Linked DNA regions of Xenopus tropicalis. The protein of the gene in region 1 purifies or fractionates together with the protein of each later gene. This does not show direct contact. Links are inferred from orthologs where the notes say so. Each region holds a gene or a part of one and is shown in the gene's direction. Other genes may lie near its edges.

Region 1 (10,400 bases):
CATACCGCAGACTTTGGTATATCTATGCATATTGGGCATCAAACTGTTCAGTAGGCCTCTGGTGTTCCTATTTGGGGTGACTTGCCTTTGTACGCAAGAAATTGTGTGAGATAAATGCGGCAAATTGCAACATTTTTAGGCGATTTTCTGAAATGTCATAAAAACCGATAACTTTAGGAAAGCTTTGCGGCTTGGTACTTTGGTGTAGAAAGGACTCTTTACCCTTGTTGGATTTGTCAGAATGTGTACTTTCCAAAAATATATGGTTTTGTGGTGGTCTCTGTATAGTTAGGGGAAGTTTTGGCACATAATACACTGACAGGGGGCTCTGTGTGCAAAAGCTGAGCTGGCAGGCGAGAAATCCTTATGCGCTATTTTCATTTAGGGTTCAGTACATACCGCAGACTTTGGTATATCTATGCATATTGGGCATCAAACTGTTCAGTAGGCCTCTGGTGTTCCTATTTGGGGTGACTTGCCTTTGTACGCAAGAAATTGTGTGAGATAAATGCGGCAAATTGCAACATTTTTAGGCGATTTTCTGAAATGTCATAAAAACCGATAACTTTAGGAAAGCTTTGCGGCTTGGTACTTTGGTGTAGAAAGGACTCTTTACCCTTGTTGGATTTGTCAGAATGTGTACTTTCCAAAAATATATGGTTTTGTGGGGATCTCTGTATAGTTAGGGGAAGTTTTGGCACATAATACACTGACAGGGGGCTCTGTGTGCAAAAGCTGAGCTGGCAGGCGAGAAATCCTTATGCGCTATTTTCATTTAGGGTTCAGTACATACCGCAGACTTTGGTATATCTATGCATATTGGGCATCAAACTGTTCAGTAGGCCTCTGGTGTTCCTATTTGGGGTGACTTGCCTTTGTACGCAAGAAATTGTGTGAGATAAATGCGGCAAATTGCAACATTTTTAGGCGATTTTCTGAAATGTCATAAAAACCGATAACTTTAGGAAAGCTTTGCGGCTTGGTACTTTGGTGTAGAAAGGACTCTTTACCCTTGTTGGATTTGTCAGAATGTGTACTTTCCAAAAATATATGGTTTTGTGGTGGTCTCTGTATAGTTAGGGGAAGTTTTGGCACATAATACACTGACAGGGGGCTCTGTGTGCAAAAGCTGAGCTGGCAGGCGAGAAATCCTTATGCGCTATTTTCATTTAGGGTTCAGTACATACCGCAGACTTTGGTATATCTATGCATATTGGGCATCAAACTGTTCAGTAGGCCTCTGGTGTTCCTATTTGGGGTGACTTGCCTTTGTACGCAAGAAATTGTGTGAGATAAATGCGACAAATTGCAACATTTTTAGGCGATTTTCTGAAATGTCATAAAAACCAATAACTTTAGGAAAGCTCTGCAGATTGGTACTTTGGTGTAGAAAGGACTCTTTACCCTTGTTGGATTTGTCAGAATGTGTACTTTCCAAAAATATATGGTTTTGTGGGGGTCACTGTATGGTTAGGGGAAGTTTTGGCACATAATACACTGACAGGGGGCTCTGTGTGCAAAAGCTGAGCTGGCAGGCGAGAAATCCTTATGCGCTATTTTCATTTAGGGTTCAGTACATACCGCAGACTTTGGTATATCTATGCATATTGGGCATCAAACTGTTCAGTAGACCTCTGGTGTTCCTTTTTGGGGTGATTTGTCTTTATCTGATCTTTATTAAGAAATTGTGAGAGATAAATGCGGCAAATTGCAACATTTTTATGCGATTTTCGAAATGTCATATAAATCTGCAAACTTAGGAAAGCTTTACAGCTTGGTACTTTGTAGCAATAAGAAATATTTACCCATAGATTCGGGGGGATGTGTATTTTCCAAAAATATATGGCTTTCTGGGGTGAATGTACTTTTTTTGTAGCATTATCCCACATAAAGGATGTAAATGTGTTGATTTTGCAGGAGCTGAAATGATAGATCATATGGGGGTATGTTCCCATTGGGGCCCCTACATGCCACATACTTAGGTAAACCTATACATATTGGGCATCAAACTGTTCAGTGGACCCCTGGCGTTCAAATTTAGGGTGTTTTATCTTGGTACCTAACACTATGTGGGAGATAAGATGCTGCAAAGTGGAAGCTTTGAGGGGATTTTTGGAAATGTCATCAAAATTGCTAACTTTAGAAAAGCTGTGCGGCTTGGTACTTTGGAGTAGAAAGACATGGGTACCCATTTTAGATTCGGAGGAATGTGTACTTTCCAAAAATATATGACTTTCTGGGGTGAGCGTACTTTTTTGTAGCTTTATCCCACATATAATAATGTAAATGTGTTGATTCTGCAGGAGCTGAAATGACAGAAATGACAGTTCATATGGGGGTATGTTCACATTGGGGCCCCTACATGCCACATACTTAGGTAAACCTATACATATTGGGCATCAAACTGTTCAGTGGACCCCTGGCGTTCAAATTCAGGGTGTTTTATCTTGGTACCTAATGCTATATGGGAGATAAGATGCTTCAAAGTGGAAGCTTTGAGGGGATTTTTGGAAATGTCATCAGAATTGCTAACTTTAGAAAAGCTGTGCGGCTTGGTACTTTGGAGTAGAAAGACATGGGTACCCATTTTAGATTCGGGGGAATGTGTACTTTCCAAAAATATATGACTTTCTGGGGTGAGCGTACTTTTTACTAGCTTTATCCCACATATAATGATGTAAATGTGTTGATTTTGCAGAAGCTGAAATGACAGAAATGACAGTTCATATGGGGTATGTTCACATTGGGGCCCCTACATGCCACATACTTAGGTAAACCTATACATATTGGGCATCAAACTGTTCAGTGGACCCCTGGCGTTCAAATTCAGGGTGTTTTATCTTGGTACCTAATGCTATGTGGGAGATAAGATGCTTCAAAGTGGAAGCTTTGAGGGGATTTTTGGAAATGTCATCAAAATTGCTAACTTTAGAAAAGCTGTGCGGCTTGGTACTTTGGAGTAGAAAGACATGGGTACCCATTTTAGATTCGGGGGAATGTGTACTTTCCAAAAATATATGACTTTCTGGGGTGAGCGTACTTTTTACTAGCTTCATCCCACATATAATGATGTAAATGTGTTGATTTTGCAGAAGCTGAAATGACAGAAATGACAGTTCATATGGGGTATGTTCACATTGGGGCCCCTACATGGCACATACTTAGGTAAACCTATACATATTGGGCATCAAACTGTTCAGTGGACCCCTGGCGTTCAAATTCAGGGTGTTTTATCTTGGTACCTAATGCTATGTGGGAGATAAGATGCTTCAAAGTGGAAGCTTTGAGGGGATTTCTGGAAATGTCATCAAAATTGCTAACTTTAGAAAAGCTGTGCGGCTTGGTACTTTGGAGTAGAAAGACATGGGTACCCATTTTAGATTCGGGGGAATGTGTACTTTCCAAAAATATATGACTTTCTGGGGTGAGCATACTTTTTACTAGCTTTATCCCACATATAATGATGTAAATGTGTTGATTTTGCAGGAGCTGAAATGACAGAAATGACAGTTCATATGGGGTATGTTCACATTGGGGCCCCTACATGCCACATACTTAGGTAAACCTATACATATTGGGCATCAAACTGTTCAGTGGACCCCAGGCATTCATATTTAGGGTGTTTTATTTGGTTACTTTATGACCTGTAGGAGATAAGATACTATAGACTGGAAGCTTTGAAGCGATTTTTAAAAAAAATCACAAATTTTGATAAAAACCAATAACTTTAGGAAAGCATTGCGACTTGATAGTTTGGAGTAGACAGACAGTTGTGCCTATTCTGTATTCCCCAGAATCTGTTCTTTCCAAAAATGTACAATTTTCTGGGATTAACCTTCTGTTAGTGGAATTTTGGCCTTGAAATCCAAAGTATGCAGTTTTTTTGGAGCAGTGCTTTGGGAATTTGGTAGTGTACTGCTGGGAGTTTTTGACCTATACAAGTGAGAAATCTCCATAAAACTATATATATTTGGTATTGGCACGTTCAGGAGACATGGGACTTTCCAAATCAGTTGTATATTCGTGCATAAAATAATTTTTGTTTCTAGTATGTGTGATTATATTATGGAAAATTTGTTTTTTTTTGCATTTTTAGACATTTAGAAGCCTATATCTTGTTACAGAATTGGAATTACACAAAAATTCTACCATATTTTGAAAGCTTAGGTTGTTCTGAAAAAAACGATATATTGTTTTCCTTGGTAAACTAAAAGTCCCCCCGAGGAAAGGCCCCTAAAGTGAAACAGTGCAAAATGTTCAAAAACTGTCTGGCAATACAAGTTCCGCTTTGACCAAAATGGCTGGCAGTAAAAGGGTTAAGAAGGATAATAATAAACTTGAGAGAGTGAAGAGATGTACACCTAAAGTGGCAAAAGGGAGGATTAAACTATGAGTCACGGGAAAATATTTTTTTTTTTGTGTTGGGGGGGGGGGGGGGGTAAGCAGGTAAAAGTGTTATGTGTATATGTGTGCACTAGGGCTTGTTTGAAAGGGTTGAGCTTGATGGGCTTTTTTTAACAGTGGCATAACTATCTATATACCCCGCGGTCACAGCAGGGCCCAGCCCCCCTGCCCAGCCTCTTTTCTACCTTAAAAATGGCTGCATGGTGTCGGATGAGAGGTGCGGTGCAAGTAAGCCGGGGGGGGGGAATATTTGAGGGAGCCTGGAGCGACCAAGTTACACTACTGCTAACTATGTATACAGTATTACAGAATTCTGTAGTCTACACTGCAGTATAGATAGGAGAAGCCACAAGTTTTGTAACTGTGGTTATATTTCTACCAATACACATGAGATTCTTTATATACAGGAAATGTCAACATGCAATATTTTTGTATCCTTGGTCTGTTGGCAGCTTTTATCATCCCTTGTATGGACATCTTAACATTAGTAAATGGGGCCTACAGTTTTTTTTAATAAAAACAAAAGTTTTGCAAAGCAATCAGCTGAATTTTAGAACTTAATATTCTTTAAGGAAATAGCTTATTGCTATTCTTCATTTGTTTTTGTTTATGAACTAGGATACAGTACTCCTGAAACCAGGAGTTGTTATTATGAAAGTGTTTGAAATGGGTGTTGTCTAATCACTCCACAAGATAATGTGCCAGCAGGCTGGGACTGAAGCACAGCCCATGAGATCCATGGCTCGCTCAGCTCTATTTATAACAGCCAATCATTGCTCTCATGCTGTCTGCTCCATTCAAGACAAGCTGACACACACAGGAAGAACATAAACACAGACTCGGAGCTCACATAGCTTGCTCAGACTGTCTCAGCTCTCCTTACAGTCGCGGCCAAGTTCAAAAGACACATCTGTACTTGGATTACTTTTTTGGCACAAACAATTTTTGGAGAAGGCAGAAATGCCTGAAGGAGAAGATTCAGATCCACATGGAAGGTACTGGAAAGTAAATGTGCCTTGCTAGGAAAGTGTTCTTTTGGGTTGATTTCAGTGATATACACATTTGTAAAATTTGTCATGAATTACTGTTTGCATTTGTTGCTTCTGTTTGTATAACATTGTGTTCATTTGCCCTCTGTTGTTCATTGCTAATTAAACTGTTATAACTGATATAAATAGCATAAATATCTTTCTCTTTTCATAGTTTTTGTCCCAATAACATACTCATTTTCCTAAGAAGTTGTTAGTATATTTGTACAAAGGCCCCCCTGTGGTGGTCATCAGCATTCCCTCACAGGGTGCATTCCAGTCAGTCAGCAGTGGCATGAGAGTCAGTCACATTCAGCTCTGACCGCCAAAGGGCATCTGTTGGACTAACAATAGAATTTAGTTTTTTTTTTGTGTACAGTGATTAATTTTTTGCATTGTCTTAAGGTTAGATGTTATATTAATACTCTCTTCAGTATGCCCAGTATGATGATATCTAGAAAATAAATAGGAATTAAGCCATTAATATTCTTCTATTCAGGCATTCTCCTATTTATATTACAATGTCTCATTCAAAGCACTGCATGGTTGCTAGGGTAAATTGGAGCACAGCAACCAGATAGCTGCTAAATGCCATACTGATAAGCTGTTAAACACAATCTGATTAATTCAAAAACAAAAAAAAATTTAAAAACTGCAAATAGCCTCAGAACAATACTGCCAACAAAATGCAAAAAGTTAATTTAAAGGCAAACTACCCCTTTTAAGTAATATTTCATGACAATGAATATGTTGCTTTTGGTGGCCTGTTGTAAGTTTCCTATTAAAAAGTAACAACCAGGACTTCAGCAAATTCTGCTTTCAATAGCAATTACATTTACACCTAACTTTTAAAGCGCTAATAATTTTTAATAATTGAAATTGGAATTATGTTTTCTTTTATTAGGCAAAACAATTATTTTTGGGGTTGACATGTCCTTTAAGGTTATGGCCTAAAAATGCACCTTGGAAGATAGATGCAACCTTATGTCATGTTTGCTGTGATTCTGGTCTATAATTGAAAGCAATCTTCAACTGTTCCTGGTACTTTGTTCTTAGGAAAAGTCTCTGCAACTAAATGACCCATAAGGCATTAGACTATGTATGGAAATGTCAGGGCCTTATGGTCTTTACAGGGTTGAAGTCAGGATCAGGGAGGAAGCTGAGTTCAGAAAATTATACGCCGTATCCATGGGGTAAAGCAAGTCTCTTAGTCAAATTCAGGCTAAAAATTGTGGCAAGTAAGAACAAAGCTGAAAGAAACGTGTAGATTGAGCCAAAACAGTAATTTAATGCACCAAGGAACTTTACAATGAAAGATATATATTGAGGCATTGAATCCGGGTCTTTGGTGTCCTTTCGGTTTGAATTTTCACGCCAAAGTGGCATGTGATGACATCATGCAGCAACAGTGTGACAATGTGACATTGTGGCCATGGGCACTGCCTTCTTTGGAAGGAGGCAGAGTGCTTCTAACCAGAGAACTCCTGACAGGGCATCCCCTGGCACACTCCTAGTTAGCATGATTTAGAATCTTGCTTCCTTATTATTGCTTATTTGTGCCCCTAGACCAGCTCATATCATCATCATCATTTTTTTTTATAATACAGAAGTCATGAATCTCTCTCCTATTTAATGAATGGTGCTTAGTGGTGTAATTTATCACATGACACACTGAAACTTGTGCATTAGAATATGTAATGTACTCTCTGTTGTAAAATATGAGGAGTCAGTTCGAGAGCTGCTCCTGCCATGAGGCAAGGTAAGAACTTTCACCCAGCTATCAGCACAAGAGCCACAATATAAATTTTTGCACTCTACATGGGCTTGGCACAATTTACATCCTTCTTTTAGCCCTTAATATATTAGCCTGCATGTATTTATGCGCACATTCAGCTTCATGCCTAAATTATATGCTATGTATATGCCTGCTATATAAATAATGGTATATACATAAAGAACAATAAATACTAATATGGGACAGTTCAGGGTTGAATTTTCAAATTCATCTTATCATTTATCATTTAAGGAATTTTTTAACATGTCCAAAAAGGTTCCCAAATGAATCTATTTAATATAAAGTATTGTTTTCTAAAGGCAATATCTAATAGCACCAGTAATTTTTTCTCAGGGGGAACAGCAATTGATTGAAAACCTCAATTTAGGAGATGTGGGGTTATGAAGATTTGAGCAAGTATTGTAGGGTTATGAACACTTGAGCAAGTATTGTGAGTATTAGTGTAATGCAAGTCATTCAGTAGGATGCTGACAGGTTGCCCTGTGCCATGCTCTGGATTTTAAATCCTGCCCAAGATACATCTGGAGCAGATACTCCAGATGCAAGTTCTTTAGTAAGTCTAGTGAGGATCATCATAGCTAAACCAGAATATAACCCAGGGGTGGGCAAACTACGGCCGCGGGCCACATCCGGCCCCTTGGCCTTTTTAATCCGGCCCGCCGCCGACGCCAAGTCTCATCACGCGAGACTGGAATTAAAGAGATGAAGGGGGTGTAACGCTGGCCTGGCCCTGCCCGCCCTGGCCCGGTCCGGCACGGGGGTAAGTAAATGTGGCCCGTGAGCCAAAAAGTTTGCCCACCCCTGATATAACCTATGGTACACATGGCATTTGATGTTATTATTTTTCTGTTACTGAGAATGCCACAGGTTGCTTGAACCCACCTCTTATTGCAGTGAATAGGAAGTTAATGGGAAATTGCTTATAGTCTGTATTTTTATTCAAATCCATTGTAATTGGAGGCAATTTCAAACAAGTCATGCAATTGTAACCAAGATTTTATTTCCAATTGCACTTAATAAGAATAATATATTAACTTATTAAGGATTACATCCTTGAAGCAGTGTTTCGACTTAATAAGCCACTCTCTTTGTGCAGTAGTTCATGTTTACTTAACCACTTATCTTTTAAGTATGGCTTCCCTGCTGTCTCCTTCTTGTGGTTTTTCTTGTTTCTTTTTGTATCCATTTCATTAGAAAAATAATGTTGATTGTGTATGTCTACTGTAGGACTGTGTAACTGCTCAGTCTGTAATTTTGTAAATATGGGAGCAGCTGTGGTTGAAGTGGTATGATTTATTTACCTTTCAAAACATTTAACCACTTACATTTACCTTTTTGTGTGAACAGTTTGCCACTGTCTGTTATTGCAGTACCAATAAACCAACAGACATGTAAATTATAAAAACAGATACTTTCCCATCTCTTGAAAACTTTCATAGAGTTCTCACAAAAAATGTATATTACCTGTGTATGTCATCTCCTGATTGTTGTTGTAGCAAATTAGATGAAAGCAAGATGACAAGCATGTATAATGGCAATTGTACATGGCTCATTCCAATCCTCTTGGCACCTGAGCAATTAGTAGCTCTGTAGCTGTGATTGTCAAATTCTTTGAGTTCAAGTCCCCATGAAGGTCCAACCAGTTAGCTTATGAAACTGGTACATGTTTGAAAAATGTTGGTGTATTGGTCATTCAGCCATAGTTTGGGTGAAGTTATTCACCCCAAATTTCAGCCTAACTGTCCTTCAAGCTGGGCCTTCAGGTGTAAGTAGTAAGTTCTAAAGGCTATTTTCCCTAGTTCTCATCCTAATTGGTGTGTCCCTCACAACCCCAAGTGCCACTGTTCTTAGGGGGCTCTAAGAGATTGAAGTTGAAGCTCAGTCTACCTGAGAGGAACTTCCTTGCTTTCTTCTTTGTTGTATAGGATTTGTTGGTGCAAATTTACAAAGGGTGAAAATGTAGTACATGATGGCGAGGTTAGTTTTCATCTTTGTCTCTGTCTCTGATCCAACATATAACAGGAAGGAAAATAATTAGTATACCTGCCTTTATTAATTCTTAACTGCACATAGCAAGGCAAAACAATCATATCAGGTTTATCCCGCTATCCCAGCACAGGGGGAGGGGCCTCAGGTTTATTATCCATGGTTTAAATTCCACAAATATCTATCCTGTGGCATAACAAAACATTACAGACGCTCAGAGCAAAGCATTTTTATGTTCTTCCAAACAGCAAATTACTTGATTTAAAAAGATAAATACAAGTTGCTCAATAGTTAGGGCTCATGTTCCCCCCCAACAGCCCTTAGACCCCAGCTGTCGCTATGCCAACGTTCTCTGTTGTTACATGCCTGTATATATATATATATATATATATATTAGAGCTGGGCGGTATGACCAAAAATTTATATCACGGTATTTTTCAAAATTATATCGGTATCACGGTATTTGACGGTATATAAATAAATAATAAATATTGGTGGCCAGGGCCCCTAAATAGTTTGCTGGCACCCCCCCCATACATAAAAATTGGTGGCCACCCATCCCCCCCACCCTCCACCCTATACATAAATAGAAATTGCTGGCCACCCATACCACTACCCCACCCCCCAAGACCGTGCCAATAAATTGCAAGGTGGCCAGGCAGGCACCGCCATAAAATACGCAGGATTGCAGGCCAGGCACCCCCGAAGACAGCGCCCCCCCCATGCACATTGGTGTTCAGTGGAACTTACCGAACTTGAGGTTCCTCCAGCGATGCGTCCGATCGATGCGTCCTAGCGATGGCACTTTTGTAGAGCGCTGACGTCGCGTGCGCGCTGACGTCACAACCCGGATATACTTAGAAAAAAATTGCAGGAGGCGCGCACACCGGTATTGGGGTATGTTGAAAATTAATATCATTTTTTTAAAAAAAAAACGGTATTTGGTTTAAAACAGTATACCGCCCAGCACTAATATATATATATATATATATATATATATATATGCAATTTTGGCACCCTTTTGGGTTTAAAAAGCGTTTGCATTACACATTGGTGTTGTTGTCCCTGATGAAAGTTCCAGTTGGAACTGAAACGTCGGATTGAATAAAACCTCACTTCTACATTTATCTGATGTCTCCAGTGTGAAATGCCGTCATTTTCTCTGTCTATATATATATATATATATA
Region 2 (10,212 bases), on another chromosome or scaffold:
ACCTTTAAAAGCTTTTGGCCTCATTGTTTAAGAACTGCAGCTATAGAGTGTTATTATTTCTATTATTGGCTGCAGAATCTTATAGGGCCCAGTGCATTGTGGGTTCCCATTTCCCATGACTGCACGGCTATCACTTGCCTGTTTGCATGAATGAGTTTTGCATGTTTCCTACTAATGGATTTATAAAATTTCTTATTTTTGTAAGAAGATTTCATGCTATGGGTGTATAGAGAGCCGTAAGTAACATTTGACCCCTATGTATCTCGACTAATTGCACTAATCGGACAAATCACGACTGCAATTTCATCCTGCGGAGTAGTCACCACGACTTTTTGGAAAGTTGCGGCGACTAATCGCCCTGTCTGTCTTCGCCCTTAGGGAGAAGACACACAGAGATACCAGTAGCAGCTACTTATCACAGCTACTAAAATAGACAATGCTGATCATTTACTGATAATTGTCTCTATGTGTGTTTTAGCAGAGGCAATTCTCAGTATTGTCTATGGCAGGGGATTTTGTGGAGTTTAGTAGCCGTGACAAGTAGCTGCTACTAAATAGCTCAGTGTGTCTTTACCCTTCATCTTGTTCAAACAACTGCCTGGTTGCTAGGGGAAATTGCAACATAGCAACTAGAACACTTCTAAATACCAAACTGAAGAACTGCTGAACAAAACTTTAAATAACTGAAAAGCCATAAAAAATGAAGACCAATTGCACATTGTCTTAGAATACCAATGTCTGCATCATACAAAAAGTTAATTTAAAGGTGAACTACCCTTTAAATAACCATCAGCCCTGAACTGGGATTCAAAATAGTCTCGGGCATTTCAAGTACACAGAGGCCCAAACAGCCCCCCCCAGCCCAATAAATAGTGACTGTCTATGGCACCTTACAGCAGCCCCTCTGGCATTTGCCTGAACCCACAGATTGCCAGTCTGGGCCTGATAACCATTGTATTCTAAACAGCTTATCTATAAACAAGCAAATATGAGCCCTAAGTTCCTACTGGATTCATAATATAAATGATAGTTCAACATTATATTGAACCCTTTCATTGCAGTAACAGCAGGTACAGTATGCTGCCAGTTCCGTATCCATATACCAACGTGCTAGTATATAGTAAATAGCAATATTCTCTCAGCGCCTGAGTTATTGGCTCCATAAGCACAGCTAATGAAATAACATATATTTTGTACCTCCTTCTGTGCCAAGACGCTGCAGCTGATGAATTGTCTTACAGCCTATAGGAAATTACTGTGTCGTAACTGCCAGCTGTACTAGGGAATTATTTCAATAAAATGACCAATGCATGGATGTAATTCAGTTTTGCTGTGAGAAATTCTCAGTGCCTGTTCTGCAAACTGCCTGCATTGAATAATAGCCTATATGCCAGCCTGTCATGGGTACTAGGTAGGGAATGCTGCAGCGATGGAAAAACCAACCAAGCCAGAAAATGTTCCATGTTTCAAAATGATGGAGATTAGTTTGTGTAATTTTCTGTGATTTCAGAAGTTCAAGCCCCATTTGCTTCTGACACCTTTAAATCTGGGCTCCTATACAATACACATGCTGCAGGGCTGATTATTGACTGGTTCAGCAAATGCTCGATTGATGGAAAGTGTAGTCATCACTGCAGGGATATATAGACATCTTTCCATTTTGCAGGGTTTGTTTTTTAAAGGAAAAGGTGGCAGTTAGAGCCAAGTACCCCGAGCCCTGCAGAGCAGCAGTAGCAGATAGGAAGAGAAGGGGGATAGAAGGCAAAATGGAAAGAACTGGATAAGATAGTGGCATTAAACTGTTATATCTGGGCCCTACAGCTGTTGTTGGAGCACATCTCTCAGCAGCTACTGACAGCAAAGGGTTAAATACCCATAAATCATGTGAGCATTGTAGGCAGTCCTGTTGGAGAAGAGGGCAGTTATGTTACGTATGTGTTTGCATGGAGGAAACTGGCAGATGGGGATATTTGTCTGCATTCCCTCCTCTGTACATTCCCAGCCTGTATCTCTGGTGTCCTTGTTAGCAAATGAGAGAGGTGAGCCCTTTGCTCCGCCCCTGCCTGCACTGCAATGAGAGGGGAGGGGCTCCTTTTTATTGTTGGGCTGATGTTAACCCATTCAGTCAAAAGCTTTATTTTACCAATTATGAATGGCCCTGTAACTACTGACAAACGCAATTCACAAACATCTAGATCTAGAATTTTTTATATAGTATTCTTGTCCTCTTCAATGTCGTATACATATATATATATATATATATATATATATATATATATATATATATATATTTTAGATGTTGTTTTGAATAAACACCTTTTGTTTCACCATATATATATATACAGTATATATGGGATTATGTAATGTAAGGCACTATATTGGCCCAGGAGCTAGCAATCAGTTGGTAGAATTTACTGGTCACCTGTTTAAAAGCTCTTATTGATTGCTATGGGTTACGGTTACTGGGCAACAGTAGTGCCTTTTATTACATATGGGGGATACAGTCTAGAAAGTAGGTTCATATACAGTATGGCTGGTTTATTTGCTCTTCTGAATTATATTCATGTCAGTTATATTATTTCAGAACAACAAATAAGCCAGCCCGTTGTATGGGAACCTACTATCTAGTCTACAGGAGGAGTATGAGATTTTGACATGATTTGTGGACCCAGGATTGGATGGGTACAAGGTATGGGATCCATTATCCAGAAACCCATTTTCCTGAAAGCTATGAATTACGGGAGGCAAAACAATCCTACTAATGTTTAAATTATTGTTTAGTAGGCTTTAATGGGTTTAGTATGATGTGGAAGGCAATATTCTAAGACAATCTGCAATTGGTCTTTATTTTTTATCATTTATGTTTTTTTATGTATTTTACTTTTATGTCCAGCAACTTCCCAGTTTGGAATTTCAGTAGCTATCTGGTTGCTAAGGTCCAAATTAACATAGCAACCAGGCAGTGATTTGAACGAGAGACGGGAATTTGAATGGGAAAGGGTCCTGAATAAAAGACAAGTAATAAAAAGTAACAATAACAATACAACTGTAGCCTTACAGAGCAATAGTTTTTGGCTGCCGGGGTCAGTGACCCCCATTTGAAAGCTGGAGAGAGGCAGAAGAGGAGAAATAATTAAAAAACTATAAGAAATAAAAAATGAAGACAATTTGAAAGTTTGCTAAGAGCTACCCCTTTAAGACTTCTGTCACAGAGAGGAAGTTAAAGGGGATTTCCACCCCTAAAATAGTTTTTTGCATAATGAAAAACAATCCAAATTTCCAGTGCACATTCTGTGATTTTCAAGTTATTTGTAAAGGAAATTTCAGCTAAAAGCTGTGTTTGTTTATCTCTTTCTGTTCTCTGGTTCTGACTCTTGAAACAATGTAGCAGGAGTCAGTTCTCCTCCAGGTCTGCTAATCAGTCGGCTTCTGTTATTGTGTTACCACAGTCAGAACCAGCAGTGCAGAAAAGGTATAAGTCAGTGGTTCTTAACCGTCATAATGCCGCGACCCTTTAATACAGTTCCTCATGTTGTGGTGACCCCCAACCATAAAATGATTCCTAACCCCTGTGAAAGGGTCCTTCGACCCCCAAAGGGGTCCCGACCCACAGGTTGAGAACCGCTGGTTTATCTTTTCCTGTTCTCTGGTTCTGAAACAATGTAGCAGGAGTCAGTTCTCCTCCAGGTCTGCTAATCAGTCGGCTTCTGTTATTTTGTTACGACAGTCAGAACCAGCAGTGCAGAAAGGGTATAAGTCAGTGGTTCTCAACCTTCCTCATGTTGTGGTGACCCCCAACCATAAAATTATTCCTAACACCATCAGAAATATGTGTTTTCTGATGTTCTTAGGCGACCCCTGTGAAAGGGTTGTTCGACCCCCAAAGGGGTCCCGACCCACAGGTTGAGAAGCGCTGGTATAAGTGAAAGTGTGGCTCGGCGCCAGGGAATAGATTATGGGCTACAGATCAATGGCCGGAAGTGGTTATACAGGGACTTTGGCCGCTCTCTGACGCAGGTTAATAATGAGGCCCAGGTCCCTGGCCAGTCGCAGGTTAATAGTGTTATGTACCGCAGTGCTGTACTGTTGTGTCACCTTGCCTTGTGACTCTGGCTTTCACGTGATCCACAGAGAATAAACAGGTGACTCAGACAAACAGGTTTGCGTGTCAATCACTTGCCATGCCCTGTGCCACTGCCTATTTACTATATCTCATCCTGGCCTGCACCCTTCCCACTAACCCCCACCCTAAAAACCCTGGAATATGATTTCAGCGCCTGCGAGCTATAGGGTTCTTTAAACTGAGACTGTTTATTTTTCATTTGTCCTGTCTGGCAGAGAGAAGGTTAATTTCAGCATCCCCCTTTGTTTTGTTCTGCTGGTACTGCCCAGGGGCGGGGCTTAGTGATGTCACATTGCCCTTGCTCAGTACACTGTAACATAGCTTGTTATTGCATCTGCTGAGCAGTAGACAGCGAGGGGCATCAGCTGACTGATATATACATTTATATACTGTATATACACTATCTCCTGGGGCAGCCATGAAATTCCAGTATAAGGAGGATCATCCTTTCGAATACAGGAAGAAGGAGGGCGAGAAGATCAGAAAGAAATACCCGGATAGGGTGCCTGTAAGTAGGGACAGCAGAGCTGTGTCATCTCCCTATGGATCCCACTCTCCATCCCTTGTATCCCTTGTATCTCTCTCCTACCCACACTGTATCCCTGTCCTACCTACACTGTATCCCTTGTATCCCTGTCCTACCCACTCTGTATCCCTTGTATCCCTGTCCTACCCACACTGTATCCCTTGTATCCCTGTCCTACCCACTCTGTATCCCTTGTATCCCTGTCCTACCCACACTGTATCCCTTGTATCCCTGTCCTACCCACGCTGTATCCCTTGTATCCCTGTCCTACCCACTCTGTATCCCTTGTATCCCTGTCCTACCCACTCTGTATCCCTTGTATCCCTGTCCTACCCACGCTGTATCCCTTGTATCCCTGTCCTACCCACGCTGTATCCCTTGTATCCCTGTCCTACCCACGCTGTATCCCTTGTATCCCTGTCCTACCCACTCTGTATCCCTTGTATCCCTGTCCTACCCACTCTGTATCCCTTGTATCCCTGTCCTACCCACACTGCATCTGTACAGCACCCTAATGTCCCCCTGTCAGCACAGATATGGGTTCCCTTAGAGTGAATTCCGACCCAAAAACTGCTTATTGCACAATGAAAGACAATGTAATTCCAAGCGACTTTCCCATGTACATTTGTTATAGTATTTCGGTGTTCGATGTCATTGCTATGGGAAGTACCGTCTGTTCCTATTCTCTGAACTCCTCCTGTGACAATGGAACAATGTAGCAGCCCCTGGGCGGGCAGGACTTCTGCTACATTGTTTCAACTCTGGAAAGGAAGCGGCAGAAAGGGAGAAATTAATGTTAATTTCAACGGCAATTACACTAAGTACAAACCATTAAAATGGAATGTACATTGGAAAGCTGCTTAGAATGACATTTGCTATCAGTGTGCGTAAAACAGGTTTTGGGTGGAGTTCCCCTTTAATTCCTTGGCTTTCTGCTGACGGCACAGAGCTTTGTAGTTGTGCTGTTCCTTCGGTAGGGAGCTTTGTGCTCTCTGCCAGACTTCCTATGGGCCGCAGTCATTGTTAGAGACATCTGTAAGAAAGAAAGCCACTCATTGTCACCTGCCCCTCCTCCGATTCCTGGTCTGTCACCTTCTGCTGCCACTGAAACATGTACTGTCTGTTGCTATGGACTGTCACTGCCACTGCTGCAAAGCCATTGGCTGTCAGCTGCCCCCACTGCAGAGCCACTGACTGTCACCTGCTGCCTTTTCCTTGGCTCATACACTGCCCCCCCCCCCCTGCTATAGATCTGTAGCTTTATACCCCCCTCCCAGGCTACAGCTCCTCATTATATCAGTCCCAGCAGTGCGAGTCCTGCATGTCACTTTCCCTTGGTGCAGAACATTGTCCTGTCTAGTTACTTATTGACTGTCACTTTCCCTAACCGCAGAGCTTGCAGAACCATGTACTGTCACTTATGTAAGCTCTACGGGGCAGGGACCTCCTTCCCACTGTGTCTCATACCACATGGCACTTATATATATATATATATATATATATTGTATTTATTTATTATATCACTTGTCCTCCCTGTGTGTAATTGTGTATATTGTAAGATTTTACAGCGCTGCGTACCCTTGTGGCGCTTTATAAATAAAGTTATACATACATACATACATACTCTGGCTGCAGAGCCTTGTCCTGCCTTGCAAGCGACTATACACACTCGGAGCTACTAGTAGCAGCTACTTTTTCACGGCTCATTAAATGATCAGCATTGTCTAATTTAGTAGCCAAGACAAGTAGCTGCTACTAGTAGTTCTGTGTGTCTTCACCCTAAGAAGGATTTATCTCAAGGTGGGGAGGCATAGGCCTTTCTACAATGCCCATGTTTGTCTTCTTCTCCCAGGGTAAATACATTAGTAATACTAGTCATCAGGGACAGACCTTCTCCTGCTCCCCCCCTGTATATAATAATTACGTTATTGTCCGGTCCCCTGGTCATAAACTGTTATTCACAAGAGCTATGAATATCTTGTAACTGATATCCTTATAAACAGTGCTTAGTGATGTCATTAGTTATAAACGGTGCTCAGTGATGTCATTTGTGTTACATGCAGGGTCGGACTGGGCTGGCAGGACAAAAACGTGGTGGGCCCCACTGGCCCAGAACTGATCCCTGCTGGGCTCTCCGAGGCCCGCAGGTCCCCCTCTCCCAATGTGCCTAAGTATGCACGCGTGGGGGAGGGGGTTGGGTGGGCAGCAGGGGCCCGAGGGTGATGGGGACCATGGTGGAGGTCCCTTGGGGGGGGGGTGCAGAGCCCCCGCGGTGACTTGTCTTACAATTTTGAGTTCCCTGACCTGTATAAAAGTGCTCAGCCTGTGTCCTTGTGCGTTTATATGGCTATGGGTCTCATATGTAACTGTTAATATCCTTGTAATACACAAGAACCATGAGTTTCCTTTAACATATATCCTTATAAACAGTGCTTAATGATGTCTTTGGCCTTGTGTTTTTATATGGTCAAAGTGACTTATAATATCCTTATATTTGTATCTTTCATATAACCAAGAGCTTTAATGTGGATTCTATAAAATGTTAATATTTATACATTATAGAAGAGATTGCAGGGCTAATTAGTAATCTATCCCCCATATGTTATACAAGGCACTAAGTTTCCCCAGGAGCAGTAATAGCAACCAGGAGGTTGAGTTTACTGGTCATGTGTTTAAAAGCAAACATCTTATTGGTTGCCATGGGTTACTGCTCCCGGGCAAACGTAGTGCCTTTTATTACATATGGGGGTAAATATGGTAGTGTTGTAAAGGGCAACTAAAATATCCATATAGTTATTTAAGCCATAGAGCTGCTGTACTTGCACTTACATACGGCAGCACCGGACACCGTAACATACAATATGCTCTGCCTCCTCCCCTTATGTCTCTTCCTTTTGTGCCCGTCTGTACATACCATATTAATGGTGCCCAGTAGGCATATCTCAGTGGCACCACCAGCTGATGGAGACTGCAGTCTGTGTGACTAGTGTGTGTTACTGGCAAATAGGTGCTACAGGGCAACCCGGGCCTTTCCTCCTCTACTGCCTGCACTGCAATGAGAGGGGAGGTGTTTGCTTGCGCTGTAGTTAACCCTTTCAGTACTTGGCTGCTGCAGTCCAGGCCGTTATTATGCTACAGATGCCAGTATATATTATATATATATATACATGTTATTTATTGGGCATGATAAGTCACTGCCTGCTTGTTTTACACATTCCCCTCCTGTGTTCAACATAATTACATCATTGTAGATTTATTATTCTCCTTTATGAAAAACATTTATTTGGAGTGACAGGATTCTCATGTACTAATATAACAAATCAACCATTATGCATACAAATTATCGATATATTTATAATATATCACTATATTTATTAAGGCAGTCTGGTGTAAACTATAATTTTTTTATACCTACGCAGCTATAGTATAGGATGCATAAGTAAATTGTCTCCCTCTCGTATTTGATGATGCAGACTTCCAGGCATTCTGACTTTAAAGGGGAAGTTCACCTAAAATGTAATTTGTTGTTGTATGTTGAAGCTTTTTAGTTCTGCCTTTCCCCAAGCACTATATCTTTTTCTATCATTTATTTATATATATATATATATACAAAATGCAGAATGAAGAGCACACCAAAGTTAAAATGCACTACCTGGGTGCCAGAGCAGCAGACATGGAATAGAAAATACAGAATGTCGGCACTCACAGGATTTTCACGAAAAATAGTCACTAGCAGTCAGTCATGTTTTAGAGATGCAATCAAGTGGAGTTTATTAATCCAACGTTTCAGTTCCCTACTGGAACCTTCGTCAGGGAAGCACATTGCATCTCTAAAACATGACTGACTGCTAGTGACTATTTTTCGTGAAAATCCTGTGAGTGCCGACATTCTGTATTTTCTATATATATATATATATATATAAATGCTCCAGAAGAAATCGGGAAGTCACGGCGAAAGGATCGGAGACAACAACCGCAACGGAAAGTTCGCAACAGATAGTATTTAACCTTTCTTCAGTTGAACTAACGCCATTACAAATACAGGTGTTAGAACGGGGCTTAAACTTTTGTCCTACATCACAGTTAGATTCTTTTCAGTTACAGGTGGATTTGTATCGTTTTTTTCGAGCATTAAGACTCAAAGTACATTTCACTCATAATATGACATATAATGAAGCTGAAAATACCGAATGTGGTTTTGATATTAGCAAGGTTGGCTTAAGATCACGTAGCCATTTTGTCCCCCCCACAACATATCCGGCAGTAGAAATGTATATTCAAAAAGTTCGGTCTGAGGTTGAGTCTGATATTGAACATAGTGCCCATAAGGGCCCATATAATATGTCTAAAGCTGAAATTGAGACAATAACCGAGCTTAAATCGATGTCCAGCATAACTATCAAACCTTCAGATAAAGGAGGGGCGATAGTTGTTATGGACACGAACAAATATATTGCTGAGATTGAACGTCACTTGGGGGACCTTGGAGTTTATATCCCATTGAAAGGTGATCCAACGGAATCCTTTAAACGGAGCTGGATCACTTATTAAAGCATGCAGTACTATCTAATGTTATTACTATGTCAACGTCACAATATATGTGGATAGACTTTCCCATTATACCTGTAATTTATGTACTTCCTAAAATACATAAGGACCCCATTAATCCACCAGGTAGACCTATAGTGGCTGGGGTGGGCTCACTTACCAGCAATATAGCTGAGGTCCTGGATAAGATACTTAGTCCTTTAGTTCAGAAGACACGCTCATATATAAGAGATACTCATGATTTTTTACAAAAACTATCTAATATAAATGAATTGGCTGATGAAGTATGGCTGGTAACTTTTGATGTTACCAGTCTATATACATCTATACCTCATATTGAAGGGATTATGGCGGTAAAGACACTTCTGATAAAAAGTGGACAATACACTGAAATGGAGATTAATTTTTTTGTGGATATTCTTACCTTTATTTTGTATAAAAATGTCTTTAAATTTCGGGACGGTTTTATCTGCAGATACGGGGGACGGCCATGGGCTCCAAGGTCGCCCCAGCCTATGCCAACTCATTTATGAGTTGGTTTGAGGAGGAACACGTCTATCGTAATGTACTTTTCACTACACATTGTTTTGCGTGGTGGAGGTATATCGATGACGTGTTCCTCCTATGGCGGGGTGACCTGGAGTCCCTGTCCGTCTTCCGTGATCAGATAAATAGGGCCCATCCGGACATTAAATTTACAATGACAGCAGATAGCCACAAAATAGTCTTTTTGGATGTTGAGGTTAGTAGAAGTGAACAAAAATTCCTCACACGAATTTATACAAAACCCACTGATCGGAATCAGTTGTTGAGGTTTGATAGTTTTCATCCTGTATCGGTTAAAAAATCTATTCCCATTAGCCAATTTTCACGGGTCTGCAGAATAGCTAATGACCCAGTTATTGTTAAAGAGGATCTGAACAAAATGGATAAAAAACTAACAAGCAGGGGTTATCCTAAACATGTCCTTCAGGAAGGTTTTTCTAAAGTGAACAGAAATAAAGGGATTAGTCAA
Region 3 (10,300 bases), on another chromosome or scaffold:
ATTTGGGGTGAGTGCTTATTTGTGCCCTGGGTACCCCTGGAACTATAGCAGGGTGACTGTTACCCCAATGTTTCTATATTTCTGTAACCTTGTTATGAGCTAAGGGGGCCCAGCCTGAAAGCCAGTTAGGGGGGATTTGGGGTGAGTGCTTATTTGTGCCCTGGGTACCCCTGGAACTATAGCAGGGTGACTGTTACCCCAATGTTTCTATATATCTGTAACCTTGTTATGGGCTAAGGGGGCCCAGCCTGAAGGCCAGTTAGGGGGGGATTTGGGGTGAGTGCTCATTTGTGCCCTGGGTACCCCTGGAACTATAGCAGGGTGACTGTTACCCCAATGTTTCTATATATCTGTAACCTTGTTATGAGCTAAGGGGTGAAAGTTTTTTTGATTTGAATTTTGGCTGAGTGCTTATTGCCGATGAATTATTAATTGGTCACAGCACAAGAATGAATATGTACCTTAGTGACTTAAGCAGTGGGCGTTGCCAATAATTTTCATGTGAGAATGGAATATAAACAAGCGTAACTATAGAGAGATTTAATACAAATATTGGTGTGATATCTAGTGTCGGCTTTCTGGATGCCCTGGGTCAGTGAGCCTAGTTACCAGCACTATTAACTCCAGGTCGGAGTAAGGCTGAATAGAAACAGAAGAAGGTTCAGATTATTGAAATATTAAATGTTCCTTTTTAGTTTGGTTTGAATTTCATGTTCTTCACTGACTTTTCTCAATCTCTTTTCTTTGTCAGATAAAGACTATTTCCTTATTGTGATTCAGCAGCCGACTGAATAAACCCAATTCCAGCACGTTTTCCCTATTTAACGCAAGTCCATTGGCGGCGAGGTTTCCTGGGCCGCCCCATCATCCAAGATGAAAAGTATTCCTTGGTTATATGTGCTAATCCAGCCTTGTACAATTGTTTTATTACTTTCCCATGTACACTATGAACTGAACCCCTTATTCATTTGTTATTAAACTCCCTTCAAATAACTGCGATGATATTCTCTTCTGTCTTTGTTGGAGCCCCCCATGCTGAGAGTGGGCAGAGGGTTACTGGCCCGCGTGCTACCCAAGAGCTTGTATTTTGCTAAAACTATGAGTTGTATTTAGAAAAGAAGAGTTGTTTAGGGGAAAAAAGGTTAAGTTACATTTTGGAAAAAGTATCCAATCAGAGGAAAGTATAATCACATGGTTAAGGCTACTTTCTTTCTTACAAAGCTGACAGAGACTGTAGCTATCTATAATGGAGCATTCCCCCAGCAGTTTTACATTTTACTGTACCTGCAGCCCTATACCAGTAATGATCCAGGCCTTTGAAGTTGGCCGTCTCTTGAGTGTCAGTGGCACTGCACATGCTCAGTTGGCTCTGGGCTGCTTAGGGGTCACCAAAAATCGTCAAGCAGAATATGATGTTCATATTATATAAAGCTGATGCTACTGGGCTGCTTATTACATTTATGATACAGAATGCACTGATTACTGAGCTGCCGTGTAATGTGGTTTATCTCAATAAATTAACTAGTTATCTGTGTGTCATGACTTTTAGTTAATTTATATAGATACTAAATCAGCAGAAGATATGGGGAGCTACAGGGGGCATATTTGGAGCCTCAGATTTCCCTACTAAAGGGCTGGTAATAAAGCTCATAATATACTGTAATGTTAAGCATTTGAAGACTAATCCTTTGTTAAACTGCAGTTCTACTTTATTAAGGAACAGTGGCGTCACTACTCTGTGCCACCCTCCCACCTATAAAAGAATCTTCACAGGGGCCCGGCACAGAGTAGCGAATCCTACTTGGTCCCCTTCCCCCCAACCATAGGTGTCCCCCTGTTCTCTCATGTATACACCCCCAGAACACATGGCATGATAAATGCAGTACCACATTCATGTATAATCCGCCCCAAGCATGTAGTAGGATCAATTCAGTGCATTTACATTCACTTATAATACCCCCGAACATATAGAAGGATCAATTCAGTGCTACATTCACTTATAATACCCCCCCGAACATATAGAAGGATCAATTCAGTGCTACATTCACTTATAATACCCCCGAACATATAGTAGGATCGATTCAGTGCTACATTCACGCATAATACCCCCCGAACATATAGTAGGATCAATTCAGTGCTACATTCATGTATAATACCCCCGAACATATAGTAGGATCTATTCAGTGCCATACTCTGCCTGCCCTATGCTGCCTGTGTGTGCCATACTCTGCCTGCCCTATGCTGCCTGTGTGTGCCATACTCTGCCTGCCCTATGCTGCCTGTGTGTGCCATACTCTGCCTGCCCTTTGCTGCCTGTGTGTGCCATACTCTGCCTGCCCTATGCTGCCTGTGTGTGCCATACTCTGCCTGCCCTATGCTGCCTGTGTGTGCCATACTCTGCCTGCCCTATGCTGCCTGTGTGTGCCATACTCTGCCTGCCCTATGCTGCCTATGTGTGTCATACACACAGGCAGCATAGGGCAGGCAGTACATACAGTGACACAATGCTGACACTGCTTCTACAGTCTGAGGTGTGAACAGGTGAACAATGTGGGTGCTTACAGTCTGAGCCTGAGGTGTGAACAATGCAGGGGGCCAGTTAATCTCAGTACTGATACCATTTAAAGCTAACACAAAGGTAAGCCATCAAAGCAGCCAGACAGGTGGGGGGCCACACAGAGGGGGATCAGCACTGATGTATAATAACCCCGAATATATAGTAGGATCAATTTAGTGCCAAAGAAATCATAGTCTACATGAGGAATTCGGAGACAGGTGGGGGCAAGGACACTGGCAAAAAACTGGGGGTGGGCCTGGACCTTCCTCCCCCAATAATGCCTAGGTATGCTCACTCGGGGGAGTGGAGAGTAATGGCCAATCAGTTTGCCCCCACACCAAGCAACACAGCCCCTGTGGGGGGGCCCCCTGAGCTAATCCACCCCAGTCCAACCCAGGGAAGAGGGGGTCAGCACAAAGGCCCTCCCTGCCTTTTCCTTTAAGATATCTCACACACTGTTCAGTATAAAATCATTACTTGGATTCGGGTCTTTTTGGCAGAAAGCTTCGCAGCGTGTGGGAAATAGAACTTTCATGCACCGTTGCTTTGTGCTTCCCACAATGAATATTTGATGCCTGCTCAGAGAGCATCCACCTAAGGGTAATGGCCAATCAGTGTGCCCCAAACCAAGCAGCACAACCAACGTCACTTTATTTTCATGCATTTATGTATTTTGCCATTCTCTGATGCCACCAAGACTTGAATTCTAATCCCAGTCGCTTGGCATTAGCTGAAATATCTTATATTCTCCCTCTGCCCTTAGGTAACCACAAAAATAACTATATGCCAGGTTTGGGGGGCATATTCCTACAAGCACATTAGTAAGAAGCTAAGAAGGATAGTTTCCTGAGCTGCTTCATACACAGGCCCTGCAGTGCAATCATGGCACATTGACAAGGTGGGGAAGCAGCGGAATCATTATACTTTGCCAGCCCCCCCCTTACATTGTATTGGTACACCTGCCCATGCCCATTCAGGCTGAATCAGTAGGAGGGAGTGTGCAATTGAAATTCTGGTCTTAACTAGGCTCCAGATTCCCTTTGCCAACAACCAATAAGAGGGCAGCATTTCCACCTTGCAACACTGGGGTCCTGAGTTCAATTTCACCTTGGAATCCACAACCCACTCAAGAAGTACAGTTACTGAACTAAACCCACCCAACCTGCAGGTTTCAGGCCTGTGCACCCCTTGTGTGCTTTGCAGACATTTTTATTAGACCTGCACTGCTTTTGGCCCAGGAATGTTCCTGTAGAAGAAGCAAACCTTGCAACTGCCCACGGCCCAAGAGGAATAGGGGCCTAGTGGGGCACTGACTGATTTGCAGACGATATATGTTTATGAAAAATGTCTTATACCCAAAGTCAGACCCTACCGAAGAAGTAGTGGCACCCAAGGCAATATTACTTAACCCAGTGCCGCGATTGCCCCATTCAACTTCAATCCCCCACATTTGTCATTGGTCCACAGCCTACCCTGGGCTGCCCACTACCCCCCTGCTTGCTCCCCCTGCCCTTCGGTCTCTCCCTACCCCATAGATCACTATCCCTAGTTTCAGCTCTGCATTAAGTATACGGGGGCCATAATCAACACACCAGAGGCCCCCCCTTTAGATTAGAGGAACAGAGCTTCCATTTGAAGCAGTGTAGGGGGTTTTTCACGGGGAGGGCAGTGAGGTTGGGGAATGCCCTTCCTAGTGATGGGGTAATGGCAGACTCTGTTAATGCCTATAAGAGGGGCCTGGATGAGTTCTTGATCAATCAGAATATCCATGGCTATTGTGATACTAATATCTACAGTTAGTATTACTGGTTGTATATATAGTTTATGTATGTGAGTGTATAGATTGGTAAGTATAGGTTGTGGGTGCTGGGTTTACTTGGAAGGGTTGAACTTGATGGACTCTGGTCTTTTTTCAACCCTATGTAACTATGTATAATATAATGCTTTTTTTGATGGCTAGTAACTTTTAGCTATGCCACTGTTTCTGCCCATACAATTCCAAGGCAATGGGAGTATATTATATTGGATTTACATCCCTGTATAACTGCTGCAGGGGCACATTAATAAACATCCTACTGAATACACTGAAAGCCTCTTGTTTGGCATAAAATTTATTTTACCGTTTTAGAAACGTACCCAGTGCTATTTCAACTGGATTGGAAGGAAAACACTGTGCCCCGTGTGAGGATCGAACTCACGACCTTCAGATTATGAGACTGACGCGCTACCTACTGCGCTAACGAGGCGACGGGCGCTAAAAGTATAATGACCCAATAAGAGAGTGGGCAATGCGATGTACTATCCTGTATTGCGCTATGTAGTTATATTCTTGCTATTAATGAGACGCTATATAGTACTGAGTGTAATGTATAGTACTGAGTGTAAGTGTGGCTGCCCCTAGTATGGAACAGAGCGGAGAATGCAGGGAGGGAGCCGTAACATAGGCGTTTAAGCGCCAGGGTGCTGTTACGCAGAATGGCCAGCAGGGGGCACCCTTTGCTCATATATGAGCCTGAGCGCCTCCGTGACGTCATGTTGTTACATTGTATCCGCACAGAGCCAGCCGAGAGTGGGGAGAGACGCACAAAGGGGCGAACAGAAGCCAAAGGCAGAGAGAGACTGGGCGAGTCGGGCTGAGTGCTAGCTTCTGGGACTCACACCCCTCAGGATGCCGTCAGAGCGGCCCTTTAAGCACAGGAGAACCTTCGGTGAGTGTTTGCCCACTGTGGGGGGGTGAGGGTGGCACCGCGGGGCTTGGGGGCCATACTGGCACTGAGGAGGCGCCCCTAAGGAACAGGGGGGGTTAAACCGGTCCTGATCAGCTGCGATCCTAATGTGGCTATGGCTGCCAGTCGCCACCAGACCGGGGGAGCCAGTGTAGTGTTTGCCCAAAGTGCCCCATAATAACGGGACAGGTTTAGGGGCTGCGGGGATTGTACCCTCCTCCCCCCAATAGGGCTTTGTCCCACCTGCCGCTCACTGACTGGCTTTGCCTGCACATTATCGGGACATGTTTCCATCTGGCACATCCCAGTCTCCTTCCTCAACAACAACTGGCAGCTTTCCTTCTGCCCGGGCCTGTCCTGTTCATCAGCATTTGCTGTGGGTATGGCACATTGCTTAGCAGCAGTCTCAGTATCGGGACAGGCCAGACAGGACAGGGGTTCTGTAGGAAAGGGGGGCACCCTCTCTGTGCCACAGGCCATGCCCTGTATATTGTAATGTGAGTGGTGGGACTGCAGTTTATTGGGACAGGCCAGACAGGGCAGGGGTTCTGTAGGAAAGGGGGGCACCCTCTCTGTGCCACAGGCAATGCCCCGTATATTGTAATGTGAGTGGTGGGACTGCAGTTTATTGGGACAGGCTCAAACAGGGCAGGGGTTCTGTAGGAAAGGGGGTGCACATATTATTGTTATTATTATTATTATTATTAGTTGGACATAATCTCATTATTGCTGATGATTATCAGGACAGGCTCAGGCAGCCCCTTGTTCCTGTTTAATGTACAGTGACCAGACTCCTGATATCAGGACAGGCTCAGGCAGCCCAGTGTTTGTGTTTAATGTACAGTGACCAGACTCCTGATATCAGGACAGGCTCAGGCAGCCCAGTGTTTATGTTTAATGTACAGTGACCAGACTCCTGATATCAGGACAGGCTCAGGCAGCCCAGTGTTTATGTTTAATGTACAGTGACCAGACTGCTGATATCAGGACAGGCTCAGGCAGCCCAGTGTTTGTGTTTAATGTACAGTGACCAGACATCTAATATCAGGACAGGCTCAGGCAGCCCAGTGTTTGTGTTTAATGTACAGTGACCAGACTGCTGATATCAGGACAGGCTCAGGCAGCCCAGTGTTTGTGTTTAATGTACAGTGACCAGACTCCTGATATCAGGACAGGCACAAGCAGCCCAGTGTTTGTGTTTAATGTACAGTGACCAGACTCCTGATATCAGGACAGGCACAAGCAGCCCAGTGTTTGTGTTTAATGTACAGTGACCAGACTCCTGATATCAGGACAGGCTCAGGCAGCCCAGTGTTTGTGTTTAATGTACAGTGACCAGACTCCTGATATCAGGACAGGCTCAGGCAGCCCAGTGTTTGTGTTTAATGTACAGTGACCAGACTCCTGATATCAGGACAGGCTCAGGCAGCCCAGTGTTTATGTTTAATGTACAGTGACCAGACTCCTGATATCAGGACAGGCACAAGCAGCCCAGTGTTTGTGTTTAATGTACAGTGACCAGACTCCTGATATCAGGACAGGCTCAGGCAGCCCAGTGTTTGTGTTTAATGTACAGTGACCAGACTGCTGATATCAGGACAGGCTCAGGCAGCCCAGTGTTTATGTTTAATGTACAGTGACCAGACTGCTGATATCAGGACAGGCTCAGGCAGCCCAGTGTTTGTGTTTAATGTACAGTGACCAGACTCCTGATATCAGGACAGGCTCAGGCAGCCCAGTGTTTATGTTTAATGTACAGTGACCAGACTCCTGATATCAGGACAGGCTCAGGCAGCCCAGTGTTTATGTTTAATGTACAGTGACCAGACTCCTGATATCAGGACAGGCTCAGGCAGCCCAGTGTTTATGTTTAATGTACAGTGACCAGACTCCTGATATCAGGACAGGCTCAGGCAGCCCAGTGTTTATGTTTAATGTACAGTGACCAGACTCCTGATATCAGGACAGGCTCAGGCAGCCCAGTGTTTATGTTTAATGTACAGTGACCAGACTCCTGATATCAGGACAGGCTCAGGCAGCCCAGTGTTTATGTTTAATGTACAGTGACCAGACTGCTGATATCAGGACAGGCTCAGGCAGCCCAGTGTTTGTGTTTAATGTACAGTGACCAGACTCCTGATATCAGGACAGGCTCAGGCAGCCCAGTGTTTATGTTTAATGTACAGTGACCAGACTGCTGATATCAGGACAGGCTCAGGCAGCCCAGTGTTTGTGTTTAATGTACAGTGACCAGACATCTGATATCAGGACAGGCTCAGGCAGCCCAGTGTTTGTGTTTAATGTACAGTGACCAGACATCTGATATCAGGACAGGCTCAGGCAGCCCAGTGTTTATGTTTAATGTACAGTGACCAGACATCTGATATCAGGACAGGCTCAGGCAGCCCAGTGTTTGTGTTTAATGTACAGTGACCAGACTGCTGATATCAGGACAGGCTCAGGCAGCCCCGTCCGTGTTTCTGTATAATGTACAGTGACCAAACTGCTGATATCAGGACAGGCTAAGTCTAGGCTGGCTGTGGATTTATCAAAAATGGCTAGAACAGACCTGAGTTACCATTTAATGTGCCAATGGCCTGACTGCAAATAAACAGGACAGGTATAACAATTCTGTTTGTATTACTTAATGTACAAGGACTGCTGATAAAGCAAGTAATCAGGACAGGCTCAGACAGGGCTACATTTATAGCCAGTACAGCAGGTAACAGGACAGGCTTGGCTTGCTATTTAATGTTCAGTGTTCTAAATGTAGATATCAGGACAGGCTGAGTCAGTCCCTGTGTGTAAATATATATATAATGTGTATAAATACAGCCTGTGCAGATGGCTATGTGGCCAGTGTTTATCAGTGCAGAGTGAATAAACACTGGGAGCCTCGTTCTCAGCGCGGTGATGATGTCACTAACAGGTGGCCCCCTCTCACCTTATCTAAGCCCCGCCCAGTTTCCCCTCTCTGGGTCCCTCTATGGCTAATGGTGCACTTTATACCCTCTGGGCAATAAAGGCTCCTGGAATAAGGAGTGGTTTGGATTTTTATGTAATTAGGCTGGAACAAGTAACATGTCACATGTGCCGGGTCAGTACCTACCTGGGGACAAGTAAGTGGATAGCTGTTTACAAACAAAGGAAATGTGTATTTATACCCTGCCAGTGACTTGGCTCTGGGTATCAGTTCCCTGGAATTTGTGCCTGTTATGCAACTGCCTGCCGGAATCTCATCCAGCTGTCATTTATCCTGGAACGGTTTCCATCAGTGGCCGAATATACACTGCCTCATACTCACTGCTGGTAGGGCCCACAGCATAGCAAATACATGGGGGCTTGCCTTTTACTGAAACTAACGTGGCCTTTCAGTGCTGATGAACTACACCCAGTGGCCCCTCATCTGGTTGGGCAAACCTGATATGAAGTTCTGTTGCCATCTCTCCCTACTATACCTGCTATCCCACAGCCCCAGTCCCTTCCCAGAGGCTATTATCCCCCCCACTGCTACTATAGGCACCATCTCTCCCTACTATACCTGCTATCCCACAGCCCCAGTCCCTTCCCAGAGGCTATTATCCCACTGCTACTATAGGCACCATCTCTCCCTACTATACCTGCTATCCCACAGCCCCAGTCCCTTCCCAAAGGCTATTATCCCCCCACTGCTACTATAGGCACCATCTCTCCCTACTATACCTGCTATCCCACAGCCCCAGTCCCTTCCCAGAGGCTATTATCCCACTGCTACTATAGGCACCATCTCTCCCTACTATACCTGCTATCCCACAGCCCCAGTCCCTTCCCAGAGGCTATTATCCCCCCACTGCTACTATAGGCACCATCTCTCCCTAATATACCTGCTATCCCACAGCCCCAGTCCCTTCCCAGAGGCTATTATCCCCCCCACTGCTACTATAGGCACCATCTCTCCCTACTATACCTGCTATCCCACAGCCCCAGTCCCTTCCCAGAGGCTATTATCCCCCCACTGCTACTATAGGCACCATCTTTCCCTACTATACCTGCTATCCCACAGCCCCAGTCCCTTCCCAGAGGCTATTATCCCCCCACTGCTTCTATAGGCACCATCTCTCCCTACTATACATGCTATCCTACAGCCCCAGTCCCTTCCCAGAGGCTATTATCCCCCCACTGCTACTATAGGCACCATCTCTCCCTACTATACCTGCTATCCCACAGCCCCAGTTCCTTCCCAGAGGCTATTATCTACTATGATGTTTAGTATAGAAGGCTGCTAAGAAAGCAAACCTCCTTTGTGCACTTTGTTTCCTGTCCGGCAGAACAGGTGGTTGAGCCTGGACCTCTGTTGCAAGGCTATTTCTTTGTTTTGCTTTTTAATTAAATGAGAAAGCTGATCTCCTAGATAGGAGAAGGTTAGGCAGCCATATGCACTCCAGGTGTAAAAATACAAGGATGCTTTTGGGATTTTAAAGGTGTGGGACCATGACATATCGCTGACAGCACCTGATAAATTGCCAGTGGGGGAGCTGTGGTAAGCTGAGGTGAAACAGCACTTCCATCCGGCTGGCAGCACAGTGCTAAAATCCAAAAAGGGCACAGAGAGCAAAATACAAAGCGAAGTCTCATTGGAGACGCCACCTGCATATTCAGGAAACCCTCAAGCCACAGAGCAGCTTATCTGAAAGGGTAATATTAGAAGTATAAAACTGCTTGAAATGGCTGGTGTAGCCATATGTGCTAAAACTCACATTCCCTGGCCCCAGGTTCTACTAGTCTGTACATGATAGAAGGGTGATCTCTCCCCTATAAAAAGCCACAGGGAGGGTGGATCGTCCTGTAAGGCCATTGCCTTGGGCAGGAAACACTTTTCCAAAAATAATACAACCATTCAGGAAGGTACCGGCCTATCAGAAATAGACAAACAACATGGAGTTATGAAACCCTCCTGTTATTGAAAATGTACACATCAGCATATTTTGTGCAGTTCAGCTGACTACGGAGGCTGAGAGTCAGCTCTCTCCTATCAGGG

Evidence for each region.
Region 2: the proteins of retreg1 (region 1) and gabarapl1 purify together in Homo sapiens (affinity purification with western blotting; 3 studies listed by BioGRID and IntAct, with this or other methods). This does not show direct contact. The link is inferred for Xenopus tropicalis from reciprocal best matches to the Homo sapiens genes RETREG1 and GABARAPL1.
Region 3: the proteins of retreg1 (region 1) and map1lc3a purify together in Homo sapiens (affinity purification with western blotting; 3 studies listed by BioGRID and IntAct, with this or other methods). This does not show direct contact. The link is inferred for Xenopus tropicalis from reciprocal best matches to the Homo sapiens genes RETREG1 and MAP1LC3A.

The regions. Positions count from the first base shown.
Region 1 is NC_030682.2:79,275,559-79,285,958, forward strand, and holds the start of retreg1 (reticulophagy receptor FAM134B), read left to right. Parts: upstream 1-5,247; 5' UTR 5,248-5,364; coding exon 5,365-5,399; intron 5,400-7,395; exon of another isoform or gene 7,396-9,230; intron 9,231-9,963; exon of another isoform or gene 9,964-10,004; intron 10,005-10,400. UniProt on the Homo sapiens protein: Endoplasmic reticulum (ER)-anchored autophagy regulator which mediates ER delivery into lysosomes through sequestration into autophagosomes.
Region 2 is NC_030683.2:18,815,293-18,825,504, reverse strand, and holds the start of gabarapl1 (gamma-aminobutyric acid receptor-associated protein-like 1), read left to right. Parts: upstream 1-4,458; 5' UTR 4,459-4,541; coding exon 4,542-4,631; intron 4,632-10,212. UniProt on the Homo sapiens protein: Ubiquitin-like modifier that increases cell-surface expression of kappa-type opioid receptor through facilitating anterograde intracellular trafficking of the receptor. Involved in formation of autophagosomal vacuoles.
Region 3 is NC_030686.2:41,176,163-41,186,462, reverse strand, and holds the start of map1lc3a (microtubule-associated proteins 1A/1B light chain 3A), read left to right. Parts: upstream 1-5,167; 5' UTR 5,168-5,225; coding exon 5,226-5,265; intron 5,266-10,300. Other genes in the region: dynlrb1 (dynein light chain roadblock-type 1), read left to right, coding at 752-795. UniProt on the Homo sapiens protein: Ubiquitin-like modifier involved in formation of autophagosomal vacuoles (autophagosomes). While LC3s are involved in elongation of the phagophore membrane, the GABARAP/GATE-16 subfamily is essential for a later stage in autophagosome maturation.